Mus musculus: one gene and its partner. The main gene of each other region encodes a partner of the protein of the gene in region 2 in a complex. Links are inferred from orthologs where the notes say so. Each region holds a gene or a part of one and is shown on either strand. Other genes may lie near its edges. The genes, in order: Clec1b and Pdpn.

The links.
Region 1: the proteins of Pdpn (region 2) and Clec1b are in contact, whole or in part, in a crystal structure (PDB 3WSR), measured with the Homo sapiens proteins. The link is inferred for Mus musculus from reciprocal best matches to the Homo sapiens genes PDPN and CLEC1B. Residues at the interface, in NP_006465.4 of Homo sapiens: Ala46, Glu47, Asp48, Asp49, Val50; in NP_001380271.1 of Homo sapiens: Arg107, Phe116, Arg118, Arg152, Thr153, His154, Leu155, Arg157.

Annotation. Positions count from the first base shown.
Region 1 is NC_000072.6:129,396,115-129,400,383, reverse strand, and holds the start of Clec1b (C-type lectin domain family 1 member B), read right to left. Parts: upstream 3,088-4,269; 5' UTR 2,770-3,087; coding exon 2,706-2,769; intron 325-2,705; coding exon 229-324; intron 1-228. UniProt on the Homo sapiens protein: C-type lectin-like receptor that functions as a platelet receptor for the lymphatic endothelial marker, PDPN.
Region 2 is NC_000070.6:143,296,633-143,301,052, reverse strand, and holds the start of Pdpn (podoplanin isoform 1 precursor), read left to right. Parts: upstream 1-1,488; 5' UTR 1,489-1,797; coding exon 1,798-1,864; intron 1,865-4,420. UniProt on the Homo sapiens protein: Mediates effects on cell migration and adhesion through its different partners.

The DNA of each region.
Region 1 (4,269 bases), on a different chromosome or scaffold from region 2:
AAGTAATTTTAACTATGGAAAAAATTAAAAGTGATTTGAATCAGAAGAGGAGGGGGTCTCTCCCTTCTGAGTTTTCTTCCTCTGATGAGGTTATATCCGCAGCAGTATTCAGGACAATCAGAGTAGGTGACAAAGAGAGGAGCAAAGACAGTTAGGAAGCTTAGTATAATACGCCTCGTGGCTGTTGCTTCCCTCAGGTCAAAACCCTGGCAAGGAGCCAGTACTTACACATGATCCCCAGAGCCACGAGTCCAACAACCAGCCCCATGGATGAGATCAGCAGAACTAAAGCCATCACACGCCACCAAGAAGAGGCAGGTTCCGCTGTGGGAGCACAGAAAAGATGCAAACAGAAGACTTTCAGGCTACCCTGGGCTTCTCAGGATTGCCTAAGTCTATCATAAACAGCATTGTAAGCTATGTGTGAGAAAGCTTGGGACATGGAGGCAGAAAAATCAAGAGTTCAAGGGCAGCCTTGGCAACGTAGCAAAATCAGTACCAGTCTAGGCTCTATGAGTTACTGTATCAAAACTCAGTAAGACTTTGGCTATTAAGATGGCTTAGCAGGTAAAGCACTAACTACATAAGCCTGATAAACTGGATTTGAGTCCTGGAATACAGGGTGGAAGGAAAGAACCTACTCTGATCTTACCTGCATTCCATTAGTGACCATCCTCAATAAGAATGGCTTAATTTATACCACCCATCCATTGCCACTCTCTATGACTTATTCTCTGTCCATTCTAACATATAACTGGCTACCAAGGCCACGTGTATCTGTTTTTTTGTTTTGTTGTTGGTTTTGGTTTTTTGGTTTTGGGTTTTTTGATTTGTTTTGTTTTGTTTTTGTTTTTGCATCCCTGTGCCAATTAGTAGCTTTGGCATCTATGGGTGAGTAAACTGAGGCAGGAAGCTGCTGACAGGGATCAGTCCAGATAGTGATAGAGACTTCTATATAAGGCATCCAGTGATTAGAGAAATTCCTCAGCAGACTTCTCTCTGAGGGAACAGAGAGAAGGGGTTGGCTCTCCCCATGGCCAGCAAAAAACTCTAAACTCTTTTAATCCCTGGGGCCAGAGAGAAAGAAAGGAAAAGAAAGAAAAAGCATACATACATGTACACATACATGTACACTGAGAGGATGAAATAAAAAACAGACTTCAGTAACTTCATACATGCAAAGACAGACAGACAGACAGACAGACATTCTAGTTTTCTTCTGGAGAATGACTATGAAAAAACATATGTTCTCCTGTACCTTTACAAGAAATAACATTATGTAGCTAATTATAGGCAAAGAAAACAAATTGTTCCCAAGAACCCATGTACATTTGTAACCAAGCAACTTGTTATAGATTAACAAAGTGTGAGCAAGCAAGGTAGTTTCTCTCACTAGCAGGCAGCAGTTTGCAGTTACAAAAATAAGATTAATTATTTTATTTTATTGTTTATCTTTACAAGTAATCTTATAAGAATCTTAAAAGAATCACAAATTAAACTTTTATATAAAAAATCAGTCATATCTACTTTAAACCCTCAGAATACATACCTACTTAATAAAATCATCTTAGGAAGCTGAGGGCAAAAATGGGTGTAAGAAATCAATTATTACTAGTAAGACTCAGTGCTACCATTGTTCTTGTTCCCTGACCTTAAAAAGCCCTTAGCTTAGCTAATGAAAGTGTGCTTTTCTGAACATCAAATTGTTCCCTTAGGTTTCTTACATCAGAAGCAGTAGCAGAAACATCTTAACCTAGATTCACTAACAATTTTATTTTTCCAAATGTTTTCTAAGGATGGTGGTCATTGCTGATAATCTACATCTCTTAAGTTCTTTTCTAGGGTGGTGTTTGAATCATTAATCTGCTGGAGCAGAAATACCTGAAAGAGATCAAGCATATTTTATAAGAGCCAGAGATACTGTCCAGTGAGGGGCTGGACTCCTTAGAGTTTTTATAGGGATGTGAAGGGCAACAAGCAGAGCAGAACTCCATAACAGCATGAAGTCCTCAGGACATGGAGTCCTCTCTGGGTCATACCCATTGAGGCTGTGCTAACTGCTGGACCACATTCCAAGACTTCTAAAGCCATTTGTCATTCCTCTTACATGGCCCTCAGCACCCCTGTTCTCCTCCACAATTACTTTCATAGGCAACTGGTGGAGAACTGGGTCTTCTGGTGTTCAGAAATTTGATGTTGTTTTTAAAAGGACAAAAAAATTATTTTTATGTTACATAAATGTTAACTTATGAAATGTTTACATATTGAACAACACTATGAACCAAAGACTTTATATCATTTTAAACAGAAAAGAAAGGAAAGACTTCAGATTATAAAACGCTTCCCTCCAGAACATTAAAAGAAAAAACTCTCATGTTTTCTAATTAAGTCATGCAACAAATGTATTCCTTTAAAATGTGAAGACATTTGAGTTTTCAAACTGTCCTTCGCTTTGTTCTACCAGCTTCTAAGCACCCCAGTATTGCATTCTAATAGCCTTAGTACAATGTTCCCTCTTCTGTATTTTCTGCCTGTATTCTAACTATGTCTGCAGCAGCTTCTGTAGGCCCCACTTGCATGCTTCAGAAAAAGAATATCATTCAGGAAAACACAAATAAGTTTAAGCACCCTGTCACTGGGAGAGAGACAGAGAATAGGAGTGACCTATTTCACTAATGCCCAAATTGCTGAATGAGCCTTCTTACCTGAGCTGAGAGCTTGTTTCCGGGGCTTGATGTTTAAAGTGATATACCCATCTTCATCCTGCATGGCTCCCCTTGAACAGCAAAGAGCTCAGAGCTCAGTGACTCTGCAGAACTCACCCAATGTCCACCCTTAGAGTCTCAGTGCCTGCCAGTGTGGGCTCCTTCTCTCCCGGTGGTGTGGGGCCATATGCACCAGGACACTTGGGGTTTGTTTTGCTTTGTCTTGTTTTCCAGGAAGCCCTTTCTTGGATGTTCAGAGATACGTGGGCTTGAACCTAAAAACAAAAATAATAATAACTTGTGGTGAAAGAGTAGATGCGGGGCTCGTTTCCTGCTCTCTTATCTTCAGCTCTGAGTGAAGGGATGTTCCGTCCTGAGGGAGTATCCTGTCAAATGACAAAGTTCACGCTTCATCTTAACCCTAGGAAAGCTCAAAATACATCACGTAATTGAACTGATGCCTTATAAAAAAAACTCATGGATAAAGGTACCAGTAGGAATACAGCATCTACTGTGACTTCAAATCTAATATCATTTGAAAAGAACGATATAATAATGTCTAATCTTATCATTTATATTATCCGGTGTGAAATTACACATCTACAACCCTACAATAGAACGCACTTCTCCTTTTTATGACCTAAAGTTCACTTAAATTCTTGCATCCAATATAAGTCATTTTATTTAAAAAAAAAAAAAAAAGAAGAAGAAGAAGAAGAAAAAAAAATTGAGCTGCAAGTGAAGCAGACCTCAGATTGCTTAGTCCTAGACACTGAAGGAAAAAAGAGTCAAGTAAATACAAAACTCATCACAATATATGTTTCTTAGATAATATTTAAAATGAGTTCTTGGATTAAATAAAACTAGATTGCAACGGCACCTTTTAAGTTTGAGTGCAGTTTTGCGCAGTGACAGAACTGTTTGCAGGAGGGGGGATGCTGGTTTCCTTTTAATCACAGTGTCATAAATACTCCATCATTTAGCTCTATAGAAATGGGCTTTAAATAATTACACTGGCTTACCGTGACAGCAGCTACAGGAGCACCATATGGAGCTTGCCAGGGTGGTTATTGCAGGAATATTGACTGCTGCCTGTCTTGTCATTAGCCTAGAATTTATTTAATTTTGTAGTATGTAATTCTGCTAAATCTCTATGGCTAGAGCCCTTCTGCCTTGTTAAGAGAATCCAGTCTCCATATTTCACCATGAAGACCATCCAGGACCTATTGCCAGGAGTTTACTTGCCCTTGTTCTTTTGGTTTTTTGAGACAGGGTTTCTCTGTGTAACCCTGGCTGTCCTGGAACTCACTCTGTAGACCAGGCTGGCCTCGAACTCAGAAATCCGATTGCCTCTGCCTCCCAAGTGCTGAGATTAAACACATTCGCCACCACTGCCCGGCTCTTTTTGGTATCTTCTACATGGCTTTCTTTCTTTTCCTCCGTGCTCTTTACTTCACTCTCAGAATTTTGTCAACTCACTACAAGGATTCTGCATTTTGAAATGCCTTTCACTCACACCTCCAATGATTTCAGGAAGCCAACAGACTATTCACCAATTGCTGCT
Region 2 (4,420 bases):
CAGTTAGCTTGTGGGACCAAAGCTGGGAATATGAGCTTTTAAAACAGTGTTGTCTCAGGATAAAAAGACCTGCCTGGCAAGCTAGCAACCCGAGTTTGGTCTTTAGTACCCATGTGAATGAATGTAGGAGCGAGCTGGCTCCACAAAGCTACCCTCTGATATCACACACATACCATATCATGGGTGCCCACACCTTTGCACACATGCATGCATGCGTGAGTGCATGCGCACACACAATAAATAATTTTTAAAAATCAGTCTACTTTTGAAATTCTTGAGATGAAGTCTGTTTGAAACTGAGGTCAAAGATAAAAGGATGAAAACAGCTCATTGTCACCTTCATTGGGACACGTAGGGACCGTTCATTGTTAAGTTCTCTGTAACTTATTTTTACCGTGTGCATGCGCGAGTGTGTGTGTGTATGTGTGTGTGTGTGTGTGTGTGTGTGTGTGTGTGTGCTCGCTGTCTGGTCAGAGGGCAACATACAGGAATCAATCGGGACTCTCCTTTCACCATTGTGGGTTCAGAGCCTAAAACTTAAGTCACTCGGCTTGGTGGCCGAGCCACCTCTGGGGGGCCCATCCTCAGATGCTTTTGTTGAAAGGAATTTATGGCATCTGGGAGTGAAGCCAAGACCACCCCCGACCCTGTTCTTAGATTCCAACAGGTTAGAAGGGAATAATGAACATTTCTCTTGCCGATACCCACTCCCTGAGAGCAAGGAAGGATTGTTTAAATCAAGAGACAGGGGATTACCAGTTAAACCCTAGGATTAATAGATGAGCTGAACTCTTATTAGTTCCAGGTGAGTGGCCGATAGTCAGATGACACAGCTGCTCCTGGTATCCAGGTGAAGCCACAAAGTCCCGGTATCAGGGGGTGGTGGTACGTGCTCTGCCTTCTGTATAACTCACTAGGGCCAAGCACCCTTCAAGGTCAAGCACCCCACCCAGACAAGTACCTCACCGGGCCAAGTACTGCACTGAAGGCTAGTTGTGGGAGGACAGACGCGTCCTTCCGTCCGTCCGTCCATCCATCCATCCATCCATCCATCCATCCATCCATCCATCCATCCATCCATCCATCCACGTGCCTTGCATGAAGGTTCAATAAACAAGAGCCGCCTCAGACTCACCCAAACAACGGCCGTTTTCCCCAAACCATCTGAAGAAAAAAATCCAGTGCATCGGTCTAAAAACCATAAAACCAGCCGCATACGCCACTGTGTGCGTCTCTCTTCTGCCCACTATCAAGGAAACCTAAGTTGTGGGCTTTGCCCTCCAAAACATAATAGTAAATATAGTAGAAAAATAAATAAAAATTGTAAATCAGAACTGTTTACTGCACGTGGCCCCCTTTTCTCCTGTAGTGGAACAAAGTCAAAAGCTTTTTTTTTTTTTCCCCTCTGGGCTGGGCCCCAGTGGCTGAGGCCCTGTAACTTTAAACCTGGCCTGAGGTCATCTTGTGATGCTGGCCAAACAGAGTTCGGGGGCGGTCCTAGATCTCCGGGACCACCTGACGCCCACCCGCTCCCGCCCCGGGACCGGAGACATAAATGCCGACTGTGCCGAGAGGTTGCCAGCTGCCAAGTTTGCTGTGCTTGCTGCCTCTGCGAGTCCAGAAAGCCCGGGCACTCTCTGGCGCTGAGACTTTTGCTCAGCGCCTTCCAACCTCCTCCCGAGCTCTTCCCGGCTGGGCCTGTGGCTTCGAAGTTTTTTGTTTTGTTTTGTTTTGTTTTTCATCTTTTCACAACCCACAAAAAAACCCACTAGCTGCTGAGGCTCCAACGAGATCAAGATGTGGACCGTGCCAGTGTTGTTCTGGGTTTTGGGGAGCGTTTGGTTCTGGGACTCTGCGCAGGGAGGTAAGCGCCATGCATGATTGGCAACCAGCACTTGTTGGTGGGGATGGAGGGAGGCGGGGGATGCTTGGGCCTGGGATCTGCGAGTGCGGGGGGAGGGAGGGAGAGCGGTGGGGTAGCTTAGATGGGGCTAAGTCTCCTGTAACAGCCAAGTGGGTGTGGCGGTAGGGGGTCCACCCACAGGTGGTAGGGGTACAGAATGGCCCTAACAACCCCCACCGCCCCGGGGGCTAGTGTTACGGGATGGGAAGGTGACCAAGGGCGACTGGACTGGCCCAAAAAAGCAGTGTGTTAGAGGAATGATTAATGTCTCTGAAAAAGAGGAACAGATAGGAGGACGTAGGTTGGAACTCTGGGTCACACCCCTGGCTGGGGATAGACCTGAAGAGGCTTCGCTAATTAGGATGGTAGCTGGAAGGGACGGTGGAACAGCTTGACCCGCAAGCTGCTATCTTTCTAGCATTCTTGTCTCTGCCTCTTTCTTTCCTCCCCTCCCCACACCCCTACACTGGAAATGGATGGAACCCAGGGCGCCACGGACCTGTACCTCCTAACCTGGAGGGCTGCCGTGAGCGTTGAAGCGCAAGTGTGTTTGAGGCCATGTATTGAACTTGGCCAAGGACTCAGTGGCTGAATTAGTGTTAATTAAAGACGAATGGAGCCTGAGAATGTAGCTCAGTTGGCAGAGTCCATGTTTGGCATGTGAGACACTCTCATGCTCCATCCCCAGCAAGATGCAAAAGCCAGGATGGTGATGCTCAACTGTGTCAGCACTGGGAAATGGAGGCAGGAGGATGAGAGGGTTCAGGGTTATCTTGGGGTATAAGGAGTTTGAAACCAGACTGGGCTTTAAGACCCTGACTAGAAAGAAACAGATTGATGGGACCACCATCACGTCCTCCTCTTCTGAATTACTGTCTTCTGTCTGGGTGATCTATGGCTGGGGTCTAGGACAGTCTCCTGTTATTTTGTTTCTTGCTTTGATGTTTTAAGTTGTATCTATATTCCTGGTGGAATCTAAGCTCTAATCTTGATCCCAGAGCCAAGAAGTCATGGGACAGTCTCAGTTGCTCACTAAATGAAGGCTAGTGGTCATCAGAGATGTAGGACTGTCTTTCCTGGTGAAGGAGTGGTTTGTGTGAGATGGGTGGGCCTAGCCTAGGCTTCTATAATTCTCCACAGACAACACCTAGTGTTAGGGAAATTATATAGAGTGCATGGGCGAGGTTGTCCACTTGCTTCAAAGAGACGAAGCTATTCTTTATGGTGTTCAGGGGTATTCCTGGCAGTCCTATCTTTGAAACTTCTTACGCTAGGATATATATATATATATATATATATATATATATATATATACAGTTCTGTATTTCGGTTCCATTTCCGTCATGGCGAGACAGTGCGTGTTAAGAACATGGCTTTTCACTCACCAGCGCAAAGTGAGGGGAAGCACCCACCCCAAACCACATCCTAGGAAAGTCGGAGGCTGGCATCCTCCAAAGGCAAGGGTAGGCTGCAACTGTCTCAAGCCAGCTCCCAAAATGCTCCTAAAATGTAGCTGGTATTTGGTCTTGTCTAGAAAAAGTCATCACTCAGTTAGAGTAGAAACTGTACAGCTGAAGAAAAAGCCTTGGTACAGGGGTGTTCAGAGAGGTGGCCATGCGGCCAGTTGTATCCAGGCTGCTCTGCAGCAAGATTGAGCCTGCAGGGTTTTTGTTTGAGAATAATGAATATGGATGAGTTAACTCCATTGAGTTAAGCTATTACTGGGGAGCCAGATCAGGCAGGGGTGATTGTGGTGTGCTAATTCTATTAGAGTCATATGCCATACTGATTTAGGGTTATAACCCAACCCCCTCTGCAATCCCCAAGGTGTTCGTGGATTCTAACGAGGCCTGTTGTCCTCACATCTGGCAGCCTCCCCCACTGCCAGGCCCCACCCTCACTCTGAACTGACATCCAAAGCCGGTACCCCAGGACTCGCCCGTTAGCAGTGGCTTTTTATAAGATTCTCGGCAAGCTGCTGCTTGCCGCTAACCCATGTGTGCTCTTCCGGGACCAGTCCGAGCAGGATTAATCATGTGGCACAGAAATCATCCTGTGATTTCCCTGAAGTTCTTGCCAGTTTTCGGGGGCCCTGGAATCCTCGCAAGCTGCTGAGGGCTTATGTAGCTGAGGAGGCCTTGAATAAAGCTGATTCTGTTAGAGGTTCTGCGGGGGAAGCTGGGGCTTAGGGTCCCAAACTGAGTTCAGAAGAGGGAAACACATTTAAAGATGCGAGTGCAGCAGCAGAAGGCTGAGGGTAGCCACGATCAACAAGACAAAACTCAGCTCACCCACCATTGACTTTGCTGGCAATGGAGAGACCCAAGTCTCCGGTATGACAGAGAATGGCCCTGACTAGTGGGCGGGACACCACCTCCTTGCATTCCCCCCCCCTCCCCCCCCACCACCACCACCACATTCTAGGAATGTCGCAGGCTTACCTCCTTTAATCCCCAACCTCTCCTGTAAATTATACACTATTATCCCAGAAGTTGCTGGGACCTTGATTCAGAAACA